2 linked regions of the Danio rerio genome follow. The protein of the gene in region 1 purifies or fractionates together with the protein of each later gene. This does not show direct contact. Links are inferred from orthologs where the notes say so. Each region holds a gene or a part of one and is shown on either strand. Other genes may lie near its edges. The genes, in order: rnf139 and insig1.

What was found.
Region 2: the proteins of rnf139 (region 1) and insig1 purify together in Homo sapiens (affinity purification with western blotting, with the first as the bait; 3 studies listed by BioGRID). This does not show direct contact. The link is inferred for Danio rerio from reciprocal best matches to the Homo sapiens genes RNF139 and INSIG1.

Annotation. Positions count from the first base shown.
Region 1 is NC_133194.1:333,951-343,416, forward strand, and holds the end of rnf139 (E3 ubiquitin-protein ligase RNF139), read left to right. Parts: intron 1-858; coding exon 859-2,690; 3' UTR 2,691-2,825; exon of another isoform or gene 2,826-4,314; 3' UTR 4,315-4,968; downstream 4,969-9,466. Other genes in the region: tmem65 (transmembrane protein 65), read left to right, coding at 6,446-6,665. UniProt on the Homo sapiens protein: E3-ubiquitin ligase; acts as a negative regulator of cell proliferation through mechanisms involving G2/M arrest and cell death.
Region 2 is NC_133182.1:41,356,216-41,367,085, reverse strand, and holds insig1 (insulin-induced gene 1 protein), read left to right. Parts: upstream 1-4,314; 5' UTR 4,315-4,473; intron 4,474-4,638; 5' UTR 4,639-4,644; coding exon 4,645-4,978; intron 4,979-5,591; coding exon 5,592-5,716; intron 5,717-6,331; exon of another isoform or gene 6,332-6,515; coding exon 6,516-6,682; exon of another isoform or gene 6,683-6,899; coding exon 6,900-6,999; intron 7,000-8,881; coding exon 8,882-8,911; 3' UTR 8,912-9,688; downstream 9,689-10,870. UniProt on the Homo sapiens protein: Oxysterol-binding protein that mediates feedback control of cholesterol synthesis by controlling both endoplasmic reticulum to Golgi transport of SCAP and degradation of HMGCR.

The sequences.
Region 1 (9,466 bases):
TAGCGCTGAAAACACCGGGCCTCAAAACACCACCGACTGACGGACTGACTGACAGCTCGAGCCGCGCGCGTGTTGAGGAAACGGAAACCTGACAGATTCATGCACTGCTGTAGAGCTGACCCTCCACTACACACACACACTCACAATTATATATACTATACACAACATATCAACAATGACACTGCTCATTCAGACAACACATACACAACATCCAAACTACATATCACAACTCAACACACACAGATGACCAGACATACACAGCATATAGACAACATAACAACACTGACACTGCTCAACACACTAACATACACAGATGACGAGAGGTGTACTAAAACATTCAGACAACATATAGACAACATATCAACACTATCAGAGCTCAACACACTAATACACAAAGACGAGAGATGATCTGAAATGTTCAGACAACTAGAGATGTACCGATTCCCCCGACTCACGATTCATAATACAATTTATTTACAAGATAATCTAAAGTAAATTTAAGGTGACGCGTCCTTCATTCTGTTCTTAAACGCAGACATTTTTTGCAAAACGATATATTTTCTGGCATAACTAAATTGCTATTAAAAACAGAATAATATAAACTACTGAAGACTAATAAACTACTAACCCTAATGCAAATACACCAGCTCACACAGTAGCTGATTGCTGACTAATTTCATTGGCTGACGCTGCTATGACGATCGCGTCAGACACTTCAGACACGCCCTCTGTCAAGGGTTGATGCTGAAGCCCATGTGAATCGAGCATATATGGTGCAGATTATGGATGCTGAATGATGTATTGTGCAGCTCTACTGTATCCGTGCTGATTCTCAGTGTTCTGCTGTCTGTCCTGCAGGTATTGTGGTGTCCGGTGTGGTTCTGGTGCTTTCCCAGAAGTCCCTGTTCAAGTTCTACACGCTCTTCATGGCTGTTCTGCTGGGCGCGGCGTCAGTGCTGGTCAACTACTACGCCACGGCACACGCCGACTTCTACAGCGCATACAACAGTGCTGCAGTGCTGCCGCGGGACGGGCCGACGCTCTGGCTAGCGTTAGCGCTGATGCAGCTGCTGCTGGGGTTGGGCTATGTGGCGCTGCTGCGCGTGCGGTCGGTGTGCGCTGCTCTCCTGCTGCTGGACATCATGGCGCCGCTGTGGGGGCTGATACTGGAGCTGCCGGCCGACATGAAGCAGGTGCTAGCGATAGCATCAGGAGTGATCTTAGCAACACACGCCGCGCTAAACCTGCTGCTGAAGCTGAAGTGGTTCTACTACTCCTGCCGCTACGTCTACCTGCTGCTGCGCCACATGTACCGCATCTACGGCCTGCAGCTGCTGCTGGAGGACACCTGGAAGCGCATCCGCTTCCCTGACATCCTGCGCGTGTTCTGGCTAACCCGCGTGACCGCGCAGGCCGTCATCCTGCTGTACGTGGTGCGCGTGGTGCGCTCTGAAAGCGGCATGCAGCTCGGATGGGACGTGTTGTGGGATTTGTCCAGTAATCTGATCATTAGCGGCTGCGACTCGACGCTAACTGTCCTCGGGATGAGCGCAGTCATATCATCTCTAGCGCATTACTTGGGTCTTAGCATCCTAGCGTTCATCGGCTCCACAGAGGAGGAGGATAAGCGGCTGGGGTTTGTTGCGCCCGTGCTGTTCTTCATCCTGGCGCTGCAGACGGGTCTAAGCGGCCTGGACCCCGAGGAGCGGCTGGTGCGGCTCAGCAGGAACATGTGCCTTCTGCTAACGGCGATTCTGCATTTCATCCACGGGATGACGGATCCGGTGCTCATGTCTCTCAGCGCGTCGCACGTGTCGTCAGTGCGCAGACATGTGCCGGTTCTGCTCGTGTCGCTAGTTCTGTTTACGCTGCCGGTCCTGCTCAGTTTCCTGCTGTGGCATCATTACGCGCTCAACACGTGGCTGTTCGCCGTCACGGCGTTCTGCATCGAGCTGTGTCTGAAGGTTCTGGTGTCGCTCACGGTATACGCGCTGTTCATGATGGACGGGTTCTACAATGTGCTGTGGGAGAAGCTGGACGATTACGTCTACTACGTGCGCTCTACTGGCAACGTGATTGAGTTCATATTCGGCGTGATCATGTTCGGAAACGGGGCGTACACGATGATGTTTGAGTCGGGGAGTAAGATCCGCGCGTGCATGATGTGCCTTCATGCGTATTTTAACATTTACCTGCAAGCCAAAAACGGCTGGAAAACGTTCATTAACCGGCGCACGGCTGTCAAGAAGATCAACTCTCTGCCGGAGGTGCGAGGCTCGCGGCTGCGGGACATCGAGGACGTCTGCGCCATCTGCTATCAGGAGTTCGGCTCGTCGGCGCGCATCACGCCCTGCAGCCATTACTTCCACGCGCTCTGCCTGCGCAAGTGGCTGTACATCCAGGACACGTGCCCCATGTGCCACCAGCGCGTCTACATCGAGGACGACACCAGCGAGCGCTCCACCTTCTCTAATAATAACGGATACGGGGCAGCAGGACAGGAGAGGGCGGAGTTTGAGGAGAATGAGGGTGGAGCTGAGGACGGCGTGGCTGCGGCAGGGGCGGAGCCTGAGAACGAGCTGCTGGAGGATAATGACAGTATTGAGTATGACGAGGAGGAGTGGGGAACGCAGCCCGGCGTCACGCTCATCGAGGAGGACTACATTAATGACGACACAGACTCCAACTGAACCAGCGGGGATATTTAAGATCAGGGACGTTGTGTATTTTTTAGATCTGTGGCCAGAAATTGTTCGAGAAATCCATTCTGCATTGATCCTGAGATTTTTGAATTGCGTCGCTTTTTTCGCTTGAATTAATTCTGAGCCTAGTTTACAACAGTAGATGGCGCTCTAGGCTAGTTTACAGCAGCAGATGGCACTCTAGGCTATTTTATAAAAGCAGATGGTGCTCTAGGCTGTTTTAAAACAGCAGATGGTGCTCTAGGCTGTTTTAAAACAGCAGATGGCGCTCTAGGCTGTTTTAAAACAGCAGATGGCGCTTTAGGCTAGTTTACAACAGTAGATGGTGCACTAGGCTATTTTATAAAAGCAGATGGTGCTCTAGGCTGTTTTAAAACAGCAGATGGCGCTGTAGGCTGTTTTAAAACAGCAGATGGCGCTCTAGGCTGTTTTAAAACAGCAGATGGCGCTCTAGGCTAGTTTACAACTGCAGATGGTGCTCTAGGCTAGTTTACAACAGCAGATGGTGCTCTAGGCTAGTTTACAACAGCAGATGGTGCTCTAGGCTAGTTTTAATAGAGCAGATGGAGCTCTAGGCTGTTTTAAAACAGCAGATGGCGCTCTAAGCTAGTTTACAACTGCAGATGCCGCTCTAGGCTAGTTTACAACAGCAGATGGTGCTCTAGGCTAGTTTTAATAGAGCAGATGGAGCTCTAGGCTAGTTTTGAACATCAGCAGGGTGCTGTCTGCAGTAAAAAACGAGCCTAGAGCATGTGTTACTTTTAAAAAAAACTAGCCTAGAGCGCGATCTGCTTTATTAATACTAGCTTTGAGTGCCATCTGCTGTTAAACACTAGCCTACAACAGCATTAGCTGGTGTAATATAGCCTAAAACACCATAGAGCAGATGTTGCTCTAGGCTAGTTTCTAACAGCAGATGGTGCTCTAGGCTAGTTTCTAACAGCAGATGGCTCTCTAGGCTGTTTTTATTAGTGCACATGGCGCTCTAGGCTAGTTTTGAACATCAAATAAGACGGTACCTGCAGTTAAAAACTAGCCTAGAGCATGTTTTACTTTTTTAAAACACTTGCCTAGGGCGCTATCTGCTGTTAAAAACTAGCATAGAGTTCCATCTGCTGTTAAACACTAACCTACAACGCCATCTACTGGTGTAATATAGCCTAAAACACCATAGAGCAGGTGGCGCTCTAGGCTAGTTTCTAACAGCAGATGGCGCTCTAGACTAGTTTTTACCAGCAGCAGATGGCGCTCTAGGCTAGATTCTAACAGCAGGTAGCGTTCTAGGCTAGATTCTAACAGCAGATGGCACTCTAGACTAGTTTTTTACCAGCAGCAGATGGCGCTCTAGGCTAGTTTCTACCAGCAGATGGCGCTCTAGGCTAGTTTCTAACAGCAGATGGCGCCCTAAGCTTGCTTTTAACATCAAGTGGGGCGTTATCTGCTGTTAAAAACTAGCCTAGAGCACCATTTGCTATTAAACACTAGCCTGCAACGCCATCTACAAGTGTAATATAGCCTTAAACACCATCTGGTGTTAAACACTAGCCTAGAGCGCCATCTGCTGTTTAAACTTAGCCTAGAGTCCTTATGCAATTAAAAACTAGCCTAGAGCGCCATCTGCTGTTAAAAGACTAGCCTAGAGCATCAACCCCTAGTAAAAACAAGCCTAAAGCGCCATCTGCTGGTAAAAACTAGCCTCGCAATCCTGAATAGTAATGTATTTTGAGAGGCTCCATGTCAATACAGAATCGTTTTCTCCAATGATTTCTCGACCACAGTTCTAGTATTTTCGTTGTGTTCGTATTAAAAGGGCTGATCATGTGTTTTTCCTGGAGCGCTCTTGCCGATGTTTGGCTGAAGGAGTGAACGCTGAAGAGTGACGCGCTACTGTAATGGCAGTATACCTCCGTATGATCACTACTGGTCTCTTGTGTGACCTCTCGTATAATTGTGTACATTATTGTACATGTAATAAAAGAATGATACACTGACGTAAGACTGCAGAAAGCTGAATCAGCTGTTCATCTCAGCTCCGCCGCTCTCTTCTCACACGCTGTTGCTTTCTGAACACAACTTACAATGCAAATAACAACACATTTCACCATAAACAGAGTACAGCGGTTGGCTTTTCTGATTAAATTCACGATTAAAATGTTTGATTTCAGGTTTAAATGTTGATTTGCCAAGAGGACTGATGTACAGCAATGATCAGCTTTAGTTCTTTTGTAAATAAAAGTTAATTGAGCTGAAGTTCAAGAGGAATCTGGAACTTTGCACTTGATTATATTTTTTTGAATGCTCCTGTTTGTGTTTGTTTTCTCTCAGGTTTTATTTTAATTGATTATATATATATATAACATTTGTTTTAACATTTCAGTTAAATTTAGTATTTAATCTAAATAATGATATTAAAGAAAAAAATATGCCGTCATATTTGACATATTATAAAACTCTATTTAAAGGTCACAGTTTGACTGAAAATACTCATTATTAATTATTAGTATGATTCAAATCAGTAGCATTTACACACCATCATAAAGTCAAACATAATCACGTTTAATTGATTCTGTGACATATTTTAATAGGCAGAGTTCAGAATATGTGTGTGGTTTAATTTTATCCTATACCTTCGTTAAATGAAGGACAAAGATCATCAATCTGCCCATATTTTGACATTTATTTATAACTAAATTTATTTAAAACATTAAAGCTGTCAAGTTATTAAAGGATTTAATAGATGTTATGTGTATATAAATCAATTTTGCACATTTAATATGATTGACACCATTAATGTGATGTCTTTTCTTTGACCCATAGAGTTTTATTTCTTTAATTAATGTTAAATAATGTGCACTTTCATTCAAATGTATTAAAAATGTATTATTTATATTTAAAAAATCATACATTTATTATCAGTTATACTTTATAATGAGTAAAAGGTGCACAAATTAGCTTGTAAAACATGAATGAATGTAAAGATAAATGCAGTATAAACACTATGTAGTGAATGAGGTTATATTTGATGTCTGACCTATGAATTTTAATATTTAAACTATTAATCTTTGTGTATTTTATTTTAATGGTTCATTTCTCCAAATTAGTAACAGTTTTATCCCACTTTTTGAACTAAAGTACAATTTAAGACAGAATATGTTGTGAAAATGTTGTATTGTGCATTAATAGTTACCTATATTATTTTAGTCTATGATATTTAGTCGTAATAAATATATCGTTTTCTGTTTAAAATATATGTTTAATATAATCTTCAGTTGATTTGTTGTATATCCGCGCTCATTTCATCATAGGAAACTAGAGAAGGTGAATCTGAGCTTCAACTTTGACCTTTAGGTGTTGTTTTTCTGCTCATCAGCAAGACTAAACTACATTTCCCATAGCGCTTCCGTCTCTCGGAACTACACTTCCCATCATGCAACAGCAGCGCGATCTTGAGCGTCAGAGGAGCCCGTGGAAAGTCAGTCAGTCAGTCATATAAATGAATCATAATAACGCTGGAATAAGCGCATAACGGCCGCGTGTTTTACTGTAAATAGTAACGGCAAATGGACGCGGTTTGCTGAGGCGCGTCTGGTGTGAGTGTGTGACGGTAACGGTGTTGTGAGGCGCGGGTTGGGTCGCTCGGTGAGGCCGGTGTGTGTGTGTGAATGACGGGAGTGTCTGTGATCATGATCTAACGTTAGAATAGTCGGTGTTTTTCTCTGCTCGTGTGTGTTTCTCGCGCTCTGATGATCCGCTCGGTGTTGCTGCGCGCGCTCGCGGCTCGCCCGCCGTCCGCTCCGGTTCCCGGTCACCTGCACAGATGTTTGCTCGGGACTCACCGGCGGAAAATTAAACCCGAACAGCTGGAGTTACCGAACCAGACGCGGGAGTTCGTGTACAGCCTGAGCCCGGAGACCCGGAGCCGCCTCCTGAAGGAGCTGCAGACCTTCGAGTCCAAGACGGAAGGTAAATTAACGGGCATAGATTACTATGGTAAAGCCCTGAAGTGATGTAAAGTTAGGATTATATAACAAAGTGACGACTTGTGACACGCTACCCATATTGTTCACCATGCTAACGTTACTCTGAATATTGGGATGATGTGAATTAGCACGCAAGTATGACTTTAAAACAGCTTTAGCACTATTTAAAGTCCACATGAAATCAAAACTAACCATTATGGATTCTGTTAGCTCACACTGCCAACAACTCATCTGTGCAGGTCATTAAGAAAAACAAAATAGTTTGCCCTTCTAATCTTTAATTGAAGTCTGAACATGCTCTTCTGTTTGTTTTATGTTAAATTCTCAGAATACCTCTGTATTGGGCGTGGTTAACATACTTAACCACGCCCCTTAAACTGTCAACAATCAGAAATGGTGAAGAGGAGGAGGAGTCTGTTAGGTTGGAATAGCTCTTAACCCTTTTCCCCATATTTCTAAATAAAAGGCCTGCTTTATTACATCCAATCAGCTTGCAGTACAAAAAACAAACCACGCCCACTGTTGTCTTATTCAATATTCTATTTGTCAAACTGTGCTTCAATACAAAAATAAAAACAAACAGTTGCAGCATCCGGACTTTAAAGTTCCCGCGAAGTGTTTTTGCAATTTTTAGTTACTGTTTGACATAATCTCAACTGAAATATAAATATAATAGCCCCTCCCCTTTTTTCAACAGCGAAAAGCATCAAAGTCCCTCTAAGGCAAGTCATTTCACTTGGCGGCCATTTTTGAAATGCCTCTCGGCAAGGATTGCTTGCGCATTCTGTTTGAATGGTTTGAATCATATCCAAAACTACTAGCCAAGCTTACGATTACCTTTCATTTTACGAGTTAAACAACAACTGTCTCTCTAGTTTCATTTCTAAATGTTCGTATCATACAAAATCTACAGAAACTCACGTCTGGTCCAAGCCCCTCCCCCAGAGAATTTTCACTCTATTGCGATCGCTGATTGGCTCCTGTACTAGAAGGCGGGCTTTATTTGCCATATAGTGATTGCTGATTGGCTCCTGTACTAGAGGGCGGGGCTTCACTCGCCATATTGACAGTTACACTTGTACTCATTCAGTAAATGACCTGTCTTGTGTATTCTATAGTCTTTGATCCAACGGACATTAAAGCTCCCGTGAAATGTTCCTGCATTTTTTCATTCAATGTCTGACGTAATCTCAACCAAAATATGAAGGCCCCTCCCCTTTTTATCACAGCTCTTAGCGAGAATGGTTGAGATCAAGCACACCAAATGAAAAGCCAATCAGAAGAAGGGATGAGGCATGAAAGGCTACTAGAGAGCATTTGATTGGTCAGAAGATTTGATGTATGAGGAGACCCGAAAAAAAAGCTTGATCCATTTAGGTGGAAGAGACAAACTGTAAACTGTAGATGTTTATATCAGGTTTATATCTGCTACATGAGAATTTTGTCTGTTGTGTAGACACTAGATTATAGAGATCCTAACATCCAAACATTTTATTTTACGTTCATGGGACCTTTAACGTTTGACTGATCAGTGGTGTATTTTAATAATCGTTGTCTGCTAATGTGATTTCTCTATATAGAATACTTGTGTTTTGAAGGAGAAAGTCAGAATGTGTGATTTTAAACCAACTTTAAACCCTGAGTGTGTATGAGCACAGTGAGAGTTCAGTATCTCACAGCAGCCTGAGGTGTCCTAACCCAAACTTAACCAGACTTGTTGACCAGATAACCACCCGCTGGCTTAACCATTCACCATCTGATGCCAGCAGTACATGTGTATGTGGTGTCAGTGCTGAGTTTGGCTAAAGGTGTGCTCTGGGGCTGCACAATATATGGTTCAGGGTTCATACTGGAGCTTTGACATGGCATTTTCCAGGCCTGGAAAAGTTTTGGAAAAACAGAAAAACCCACAAAGTTTTGGAAAATTCATGGAATTTTAGTAGTAAAAATGTGTATGAACCCTGCTGGATGGATATCACAGTCACATCACAGGATCTGCAGTGTTGAGTCTGGATTATAGTTGATCATCTGCGTGTGTTTTTGAGGATTTTAAAAACACTCCAGCATGAGAAATTGTACTGTTTGTAACCTTAATAATGATTCATTTTATTTCTGAAATGAGGATAATGTATTTTACACTTGATTATCAAATCACCCAAAGCATTCTGCTGTGTTGTGTTCTGATGTGGTGTTTGTCTGTTGTAGCTGTGAAATATCTCTAATCATTCAGCGGAGTGATATGGATCTGTAATGCACTGTAAACCTGCCGGAACTACTTTAGCTGTGCCTGACTATAACCAAACACCTGAGAATTAATCCACAATTAATCCAAAAAAGATGGCGATCTCGATTCGACCCCCTAGACGATCTTAATCCAGCATTTCTACAATTCTGCCAATCATATTTTCAAGTTCAGGAGAGAAGCAAAGGCGGCCGCACGAGTCTTTTCAGTGTTTTACATACATTGCTCAGCGACTTGGACACCTCCAAATGATGTAAAAGTGTCACATACTGTATTTATAAGGTATAATTCACCTATAAGTGTCATTTCTGTCTTAATATAATGCTGTGTTTGGGAAATCACGTGACGTGAGCTGCTATCACAGAGAGTCTAATGATAGACGCGCACACATTACTTTAGTGAACAGAACCTGCATATGTTGTGAGTAACAGGTAATACAGATGTCAATAATCTTGAGTTTGTGTGAGTTTGAGAGCCGCGTGTGATGTATGAACAGCACTTAGCAATAAAAATGAAACCAAAAGTGTGCAGATCATTTAAAT
Region 2 (10,870 bases), on another chromosome or scaffold:
ATATGTTGTTTTTGTACCTGCGTATCTATGATCATGTTAGCACAGTTATGCAATCACGTCCTCACATGAACGATAAGACATGTTGAGCATGCTGCCTTTAAGCCTATAGATGTAGAGGATACTACCGTCAACTGCGTCAGTTGTTTCAATATTTCACCACTCACAATAATAATCAATAGGTTTTTACTACAACAATGACAGCCTCTGGATCCAAACATGGCCAAGGTTTATATTTAAAAAGAAGTAAAAAAATAATCAGAATGGGCTTTGTCATTGACCTTGAGAAGGTGTTTGTGTTTTTGATTTTACTCATAATTGTTTTTTTTTAAAGGTATAAACTTTAAAACTGTGACGGGTAACATATTTTTCATGTGCTACATCACAGGTGTCAATTCGAATTCCTGGAGGGCCTTAGCTCTTTACAGTTTAGTTCCAACCCTGCCTCAACCCACTTACCTGTAGGTCTCAAACAAGCCTAAAGAACTTAATTAGTTTGATTAGGTGTGTTTAAATAGGGTTGAAACTAAACTGTGCAGAGCTCTGGCCCTCCAGGAACTAGAATTGACACCTGTGTGCTACATACATTCTTAGGCTAAGTGCTGGTCACACAAACTATCAGCCTAATTTTAAACCCCACAATGACTGAGACTATGACCAATTCAAGACTCGTTGCAACAAACCTTTTTATTCATTCATTCATTCAATTTCTTTTCGACTTAATCCCTTTATTAATCTGAGGTCGCTAGAGTGGAATGAACCACCAACTTATCCAGCATGTTTTATGCAGCAGATGCACTTCCAGCCACAACCCATCACTGGGAAACTTCCATACACACTCATTCATTCACACACACTCAGACACTACGGTCAATTTTAGCTTACCCAATTCACCTGTACTAAATGACTTTGGACTTGTGGGATAAAACGGAGCATCCAGAGAAAACTCACGCGAACACAGGGAAACATGCAAACTCCACACAGAAATGCCAAGTGACCCAGCTGAGGCTGGAACCAGCGACCTTCTTGTTATGAGGTGAACATACTACCCCCTGCTCCACTGCAAACTTGTTAATAAAAATACTCAATTGTACTGAGGATTTTTTTACTGCTGGATGCCAAACCGTAAATAATAAACATGTCTAATAATTAAGACTTTAGTCGCACAATATAAGAGGCATGATGTTGATCTTCCTAAATTTTAGTTTTTAAAGGGCACCTATTTTACACCCTTCACAAGATGTAAGACAAGCCTTTGGTGTCTCCAAAATGTGTCTGTAAAGTTTCAGCTCAAAATACCCATCTGATTATTTATTAAAGGTTCAGGAAACCCTCGAGCACTTTTTTTTTGTTGTTGAGGTTTTTAAAGATTTGTTGATCATCAAAAAAAAAACAAATGTAGCAGGGCATTATATTACTGTTTATTTCTTTGCATTTTAACTTTGGAAACCTTAAAATCATGGATCTCCTCAAGGTTTGTGTCTCATTTTGTGTTGCCAACTGACAACAGTTCCCCTCCTTCTCCCCTGCTCTGCTGGCCACACCCACTCCTGCCTCTGCTCAAGGAGCTCCACACCCATTATGATGCTTTTTTTTAAATTTCTGAGGTAGACTTAAACCGTAAGTGGGGGGGTTCATGGCCCTTTAAAGCCTCCAGAATTTGCCCATTTTTGGTGTCTAAATACAGTGTAGCTGTTTTTGTAGCCTGTGGCTTTAAATGCAAATGAGCTTCTTCTCTCTGCCCACCTTCCCATGTGTGTGTCTGCTTCTGATCATGCGGTATGTCAGATAAACAGCACAGCGACAGAGACAGACTTGAATAAAGCTGAAATACAGTTATTCATCAAAAATACCAAGTTTATTTCATGTATTTGTGGTGGAGTTTTTTCAAGCCTTCCTGAAATTATGAATCTCACACAAATGCTGTTTGCAGTACACACACACACACACACACACACACACATTATGTTTACTGACACGATACAGTCGTGGTGAATATAGTGGTTAAGAATTGGATAGCATTTTACTGTCTTAATTCCAAACATGCTGTTTTAAAAAAGTTTTAAACTTATAAAAATCACTGAAAGTTGTAACAGATATTTTACTCCCAATTTATTTGCAAAACTCTCAGACTGCTTTTGAACATTCCAACATGTGCGTACTTATAGTCTGCAGGAACCTTAGGTCTTAAACAGACTTCAGTATTATGACATAATTCCAGCTGAAACAGAGTATTAGAGAAAAGGGTTTCACTTCAGCGCTTTACTTTATTAGCCGATTATTAAGAATATTGTGATTTCCAAAGAAGCGTCTTTCCAGAGCAGAAGCTAATGGAGTGGAGATAGACACGTTTACATGGAAATCAGTAATCAAATTATTTCTGAATATGGCAATATTATGATTAAGGTGTTTATGAGTAGCTTTTTGAATGTTCCTTTCATGATCCTGTTTTACATGTTATAGCACAAAATTCGATTATAACGTCATCACGCTATCCACATTTCCACATTTCCTCCGGAGTAATGTAATTTGATGTAATTTCGGGTGTTTCATTTTTAATTTGTTGACTTCAACTACAGTTTGACTCTTTCACTTTCATTCAGGAACATTTCATTCATGCCCCCTGTGACAAACAAGATATTGGATGAGATTAACAGCTGGAAGAGTGTTGTTTTAATATAATTTGATATCGCAGTTTGCCATCTTAATTAACATAAACAAAGAACACTGATCGCTTACCAAAACTAGACAGGACAATCAACATCAACTAGAACCGCGTTTTTTTTAAAAGAAGGAAAGCGGCAAATCTGGATTTCACCATTTCCAGATGTGAAAAGCTCATCTGGTAAAAAAAACACTGACGATCCATATCTCCAAACAATTCTTCTTCTACTACTTGTTTTAATTATGGTTGGTCATCTGGGCACTGTAACAGGTAAAAACCGTCTTTGAACTATATCATGCATATTAATGAAGTTGCACCTCATTCACAGTAGAGCGCGCTGATTGGTTCGAACCAAGTCTTTGTAATGAATTTATGCTGAAAACTCAGACATCATGTTGTACCGGTTCAGACATCCAGTCTCCATGCTGGAATTTACACTATGATCTCATGGCCGTAACGCAGCTTCAAAATTTCTTTTTAAATCTGAAGAATGAATTGGCTCAAATATTGCAAAACCCACCAATTTTCACTTTTTTGTGAAATATATGTGTCCTAATAGTGTTTTAGCAACGTGAGTCATATTTATGATTGTCAACATCTCAAAAAAATGTGTTTTGGTGTTTCGTGACTCGTTAACATCCACAGCACGTTTCCATTGCACATAAGTTTCTCTGTTGAAAAAAGGTTCATTAATGTGTTTAGGATGTCTTTCACACCAATAAAATAATGCTTCTTTTCTGAACTTTCATCAACACAAAAGCTTTTTAGATATCAAAAATGGTTATTTTCTAGCACTGCAACGAAAAGCCCATTTTGGAACCTTTATTGTAAAAACAGCAGCTAAAGAGTTGTTGACAGTCATTCTTGACAAGGGGCAAACATCAGACTCATTTATCTGGTGAGGAGTGGTTCCACTGAGGTAAGAGACTGAACTCTGTTCTGCTCTGAATCAATAAACTATAAGTACACAAGTTTATTTACAGTGGGGGAACAGCCCACTGAGCATCATGACCTGATTTCTTGTTTTCAGTCTCACGGACACGTACTGCACGCTGTCACGTATAGCCAACAAATCCGCATTATCTCATACACTTTCAGGGCCTGTTCACTCATAGTGAACTAAAAAAAAGTTCATATCAGCAAAAAGCTTTCTTGTCTGTACCCTGAAAAGATTACAAATACATTTACCCAACAAGTAGTTTGTTTTGTGCAAACAGGAGAACAGCAATATTGAACACTGAGAAAATCTCGAATCAGTGCTGTATTGCTTAGTTACTGAAAAGGATTTAGCAAAGCAAGGTCATTAAACTTAACCAATCTAGAAGTTTAAGACTTTTCTGCATGACTCTGGCATAGCGTCAACACACACACACACACACACACACACACACACACACACACACACACACACACACACACACACACACACACGCACACGCACACACGCACACGCACACACGCACACGCACACACACACACACACACACACACACAAGGCGAACAGCTGATGGCGAACATCAACAGCGCGTGTCTGTCAGAGAGGGGTGGCGCGCGTTCGCGTCATATGGCCCGCCGCACTCTGATTGGCTAGAGAGACTCACCAGACATGACCGCGCTTGTTTTCTGCAGAGGAAGCGCGCGTGTGGCAGTGTTCAACTGAGGGATGAAAAGAGGCAGCAGTATTTCTCTTACAGATGATGTGATCAAACAACACATCTAAACTATTTGTAGGTAGCCTTTCGTTTTTGTAAAAGAGTTTTGAAAGCACAGACGTGTTCTGCTTTAGACGAAGACATCGCTAAAAGATCAAGGTGGGTAGCCTATTCATTCCCTTTACTTCCACTTCATACTCATTGGGAACAGATTGTTTTTTGGGCTACAGCACTGCTTTTTGTAGCGTAATACTTGACTTTCAACATTATTTTATTTGATCAAGTTAGTGATAATTATTAATGAGTATTACTGTTTTCCAACAGTGCCAAATGCCAAGACTAGAGGAACATTGTTGGAGCTGCTCCTGTTCGACCAGTGTGAAGACGAAGGACCTGTCAAGCGCCGGCTGGATTGTCTGTAAAACGGGTGAAATGATGTCCATCATAACCTCAGTGCTGAGCCACGCGTACGGCTCTCTGCACAGCCTCCAGTCCGCCAATTTAATTCGACGGGGGCTTGTGTTGTTTATCGTGGGAGTTGTGCTCGCTTTGGTGTTAAACTTGCTACAGATCCAGAGAAACGTTACATTGTTTCCAGAGGAAGTGCTGGACACGCTATTTTCGTCCGCCTGGTGGATTCCCCTCTGCTGTGGCACCGCTGCTGGTGAGTCTGTCTGAAACACTTGGGCTCGAATGCTTTGTTCGTGACGATAACAAACAAAGACGGTGTGCTTGCTGAGGGCTTTTTGTTATCGTGTCTTTTATGTAAGATGAGTGATTCGGGGACAGTTTTGTTGACATTGGGCTTTGTAGCTATCAGTAAGCGCTGCCCTGGTAACAGCCGGGCATTTGGGGTCATTCTTGGGGTGCTGCATTCTCATTGGCTGCGCTCAGAACGGGTGAGCTGCGAGAGAGGCACGCCATTGGCTGGTACGCCGAACATGCCACTTACCCGAAAAGAGAAACACGGAAGTCGTGTGCAGCAGAAATTAATAAATAATTCGGTCACGCTCGACTCCTCCCCCTGCATTCCTCATAGTGGTGATGTGGACGCGTATCAGTTTACATCCTTTTCAGTAGAAAATGCCTTTTAAAGAGTTTTGTTGTACTTGAACTCTTCTTATGAGATTTATTTAAACACAAAAGTCATCACCCATTATTTATATACTAAAAGGCGTCAAACAATACCAAGCAGATGTAAAAAATGTTTTTTTCTTCTTCTTTTTTCCCCCTTTCAATGAATGTTGTTTAAAGTACTTTCTGTTTTCTCTTCTCAGCTGTGGTTGGTCTGTTGTACCCCTGCTTGGACCACCATCTTGGAGAACCACACAAGTTCAAGCGGGAGTGGGCAAGCGTGATGCGCTGCATTGCTGTCTTTGTGGGCATCAATCACGCCAGTGCTGTATCCTTAACAGTGACACTTTTACAGTTGCAACCATTGTGGACAATGAAAACTTCCAAACCTTTTTGAGATTTTTGTTTTAAGTCTGTAATAAGCCATGTTACTATTCAATAGCATTAGACAAATCCTTTTTTTTCTTAATCTCTTAACTGTCACATATTTATTTGTTTTTGTCTGAACCTGAATTTATCTTGACAAATTATACATCAAAGGCTAAACTAAAAAAGTGGGGTGACCCGTTAAAGTACTAAACATATTTACACAGCAATAATCTATGCAACGAGAATTATGCTTATCTAATATTTTTAAAAAGTCTTATGTATTGAGGATAGTTGTAATAACGCTGAAAAATGACTAGAAATGCTCAGTACTCTGACCCGGCCAGAAGTTGAAAACTCTGCACACGATATCATTTAACCTTTTTTAAGTTTTGTTTTGACGACTCTGAGTCTGTGTTTTTGGGTAAATGAACAGCAAAAATGCATAAAAGTTTTTATTTTTTGTTGTCATGTAAATATACCTTAAAACTTTACATTAACTCTGAACTCAAACAGTAACATGCACTTCATTGCCAAGAAACCCCATGTAAATGAGAACTGGGTTTTTTAAGAACTAAAAAAAAAAGTTTTTAATAAATTTGACTACAAAGTTTTTGTGGAACCTGTTTACTGCTCTCCAAATGTGTGGACCAGCAAAAACTTGGGAACCTGCACAAACTCAATTCTTGAGTTAACATCACAATGTTTTCAAAATGTATGTTAACATAAGAATATTTTGCTTAACTCAAAGTACCTTACAGAAACTGGACTTTGCTAACAATGTGCAGCTATCGCTAACTCTGGCTGCCCTGTCTCTGGGTCTGTGGTGGACATTTGACCGCTCCAGGAGTGGCTTTGGTTTAGGGCTGACCACTGCCCTGCTGGCCACTCTCATTGCTCAGCTGCTGGTCTACAACGGCATCTACCAGTAAGTTATGACTCAAACATGTTGACAAACAGCAACAGAAAACTGTTTTCATATCAACTAGCAAGTAACTAACACTCTCACATATTCATAATTTTAGTCGTAGAACATGTTTTTTTTGTAAGAAACATTAGCAAATATTATATCAAGTGCAAACACTCAGTTTTGTTTTTCCTTTAAGCAGCTCGTCATTTCAGTCCTTTTCTTCATTTGTTACCAGGTATACTTCTCCAGACTTCTTGTATGTCCGTTCATGGCTGCCTTGTATATTCTTCTCTGGCGGAGTGACTGTTGGAAATATTGGCAGACAACTAGCTATGGTAAGAAACTGCCCCTCATACCAGCCCCCTTTTCCAGTCTTTCATATTCCACAGAATAACTGATGTACTTGATTACTCATGTATTGTGGTTAGTTTCCTCTTGTGTTATGCACAAAGCCAATGGCCACTTTTGTTTAGCTTAAAATAAATAAATGGCAGAAATGAAACTTAGCTTTAGCTAAAGCAAAAGTGAAACTCAATATCTTGGCTCATCAGCTATTCAGCTGTTCCTCTTCTACTTGTATCCAGCCTGCGTGTTTTAGGAAGTAAATCAAACTTGGAGCCAGAATATTTAACTCAACAATTTCAATGTGTACAATTTAGCATGCAGCCGTAAGCTCTGTTCAGACAGGATTATTTTCTAAATGACATTAAAAGACAGTCATTAAAACAGGACTTGTGGCTTTCATAAACTGATTCCAATTAGGTTGGGAATCAAGTTTAACATTAGCAAAAGGAAGTGTAAAGATGGCTTGGGTTATTGTATTTGATGAAGGTAAAACTATCTAGATGTGAACAAACTAGGTAGCTGAAAAGTGGCAGGCAGTTTGTATTGTAATATTCATTTATACTTATAAAAATAAGCTAACTAAGTTTTAAATCTGCCTTAAATAAATGAAAACTAGGATTTAGGATTTTTGTGCATTCTCTTAAATATGTATAAACTATTTTCAGTATCCAATGTATTTCTTTAAAGCAACCAGTTTACCATTTTAGTGTTCTTTTGACACCCTCTAGCGCCTGAGCAGAAACGTCATGCTTGGACATCTTAATTAGCTTGTTTGTGCCATCCCCTCCAAGCCTTCTCAGTCAGCTGTGGCTCTTTGTCTTGCTGACATACCCTAGTTCTTTCTCAATAAGGGCGTGAAAGAAGATTACGCTCCTTGTTTTTCATGCTAATGGTCAGAGAGATGGTAAACAAAGTGCTTTACTGGCTCCAAGTGGTGCATTCTACACGTTGTTACTGGATGCTTTTTGTTTTCGAGCTGGCATCGGCTGATTTTGCTTGACCAATTGGGATTAGTGCTCTGCTAGTATTTTTCCCAGCTTTCTTTATGGAGGGGCCAGTTAAGAGATAGAGTTGATTAAAAAAACTAGAGGTAAATAAATCTAGTAAACCCGGACGTTTGCGTTTGTTAATCTTTTCATGTAAATAATGGCTGTATTTTAGAATACAACTATGATCATCAATTATGGTCACTCTACATAGTTTGGTTTAACATCTGACTAATTAAATAGTTCGATATCTAGTTTACACCATTAACACCTTTACCTTTTTATCATCGTCATTTCGTTGTGTACTGTAGGTGCACTGGAATCATTTAGAGAACATTGCCTGTATATGAAACGTTGTCATTTTTATTTCAACATTAGCTTTCCTAAAGACGGATTCAGCTGCCCTTGGGTGAGGCATGGCAGACAGTGCTGACCTACGAGGGGCTATCAAATTTTACAAGGCTGCCCATCCACATATAATCCTAACATATACAAAGCCCATTTCTTATATATAGTGCATACTAATTATGGCCACAGTGTTGAGAGGCCAAGTGGGTTTAACGGGATCAGGCTCAGCTTCATGAAAACCAATTTTGAGTTGCTCAAAGCACATTTTTAAAAGCACACCTGGGAACATGCTGGAACATATTTAGGTAGTTTGAAAGTCAGCCAAGTGCTCTGACTAATACATAATAATATAGTCAGGATAGTTTCTGCATATTAATGCTGCTTTTTGGTTGTATTGTACGCTGGTGTAGTTTATGCCCATTCCTATATTTTATGGAAATTAGGGACTTAATGCAAATTGAGCTGTTTTTCAGTTGTATCTATTTGGTTGTGAATATACTGTATTTTCACCTAACAGACTGTCTGTCTTCTTCCACAGGGCTCGACTGAGAAGATTCATAATGACTAAACAGGTGTCAGAGGGCATGAAGTGAGCTTCGAAGAGTGCCAAAAAAGGACATCTGATATTCTATACTGGGCGTCCCTGGTGTCTATCCAAGCGTATCTTCTGCTTTTAATTTTGCTCCTCTTTATAACTATAAAAGAAAAGAAAGAGCGGGTTGGTCTGAGCTGGCCCAATGTGCCATGAACAACACCTCTGAATAGCCAAAAGATTCCCCCTGGCATTCATTACTACCATCAGCGTCATTATCGTCGTTGTTGTTGTTGTTGTTACAGCTCCTAGCAGTAGTGTTACGGTTGCTGAAGTGCCACTATAGGACTGTGAAAAAAAAATCATAGCTGGTTTCACTGACGATGAAACTACTTGTGAAACCACATCTACAATTGAGCGTGTGCTGGTCCTATGGATAAGACCAGGGGGAAAAAAGACAGTGTGAAAATTCACACTTTTTTAGTTTTACTTTGTGCTGGAGAACTGAAAGAAGAAATCAAAGGGAATAAATACAAGAATACCTAAAATATCCAAAGAGGTCTGTGTACTGTCTATATAGGATTAGTTGTAGTTTGATTTTTGAGCTACCCTTAAAGACTGACCACTTTGAGTATTACTATGAATACCAGAGAGCTTTGATTGCCAATCACATTTGTGCCGACTGGTTAGTGTAGTATACTGACTGAATTGATCGTGTTTTTACCATACTTTGTTGCTAATGTAAACCAAAAGTAAGACTAGAAACATTAGCTATCGAGACGTTAAGTGGCACCTTGAAGAAAGAGTCAAACAGAAGAAAAAAAACAAGGATGCTCTTTGTATTAATGTAAATTCACAATGTAGAATCATATAAAATGGTGTAATGAAGTCCTTTTAAAGTTTCTAAACCAAAAGGTTGGAAACTTTTGATAACTAAACATCAGGAAGACATTTTACTGCGGCCTCGAAGGTTTGCAATCTGTGATTGCCTTTGTATTATAGAATTAAGTGCTTTTGTCACTTTCACCCGTACAGTCAATTTTTTTATTTTATTTTTTTGTATTCTATTCATTGTGTATTGCTTTTCACCTGTAGCAGCTTCTCTGTCTAAATAAAGAGGTATCACTGGGCTAGTGTGCAGGTTTGGGGGTCTTAGCAAATTAAGTGCAATCACTTTCTTTGAGCCTGGTATTCTTTCATATTTATTACCTTTTACAATGTTAAGGAACCCCAGATGACTCATATGCAGTATAGTGGCAAACCAGCAATAATCACTTTGTTTATACGTACATACATGAAGGTGTAGTAGGATGGCAAACTCGTTTTTAAAAGAAGTCACACATGAAAGATAATCTTGCAAATGATACCAATGACCATTTCCACTGTTATGGGGAAAAAAAAAACATTGATGTTCATTGTCTTTACTAGCAGTAGTGAATTATTTTAAGCAAAATACTGTGCGCTGTATTTTGGGAATGTTTGATGAAGACCATGAGGGATATGTTTTAAAACCACGATAAAACGTTCCTCTCTGAACCACTCTGTTTCAGGGAAGGAGAGATGTTAAAGTGAATGAAAGCTTTATTTCGAAGGGAGTGAGAAATGTGTTTCTAGGAGTGAATGTGCATGTGTGTTTTTACCACTTTGGTTCATTTATACTGTTTTAGTTCAATTATGGATGAAATTCAATAAAATTGTGTATTGTACATCAGGCTTTTGAGTTATTTGTTCAGTCTTCAGATATCAGGGTAAATACAAAAAAAAAAAAAAAACATTATTACAAGGACACTGTATAAAGTTACTTTATTGTTACTGTTAAGACCAATAGTTTGATTAAACAATAGATTACTTGCAGAAATAGTCAGTAATATTAAATGTAAACATTTGAGAACAAATTAGAAAACAACCTACAATTTTCAAGGCCACTCCTTAGTAGTTCTTGAATTGACTGTAACAGGAGTTATACTAGTTTAAACAATTCATGAGTTACATATT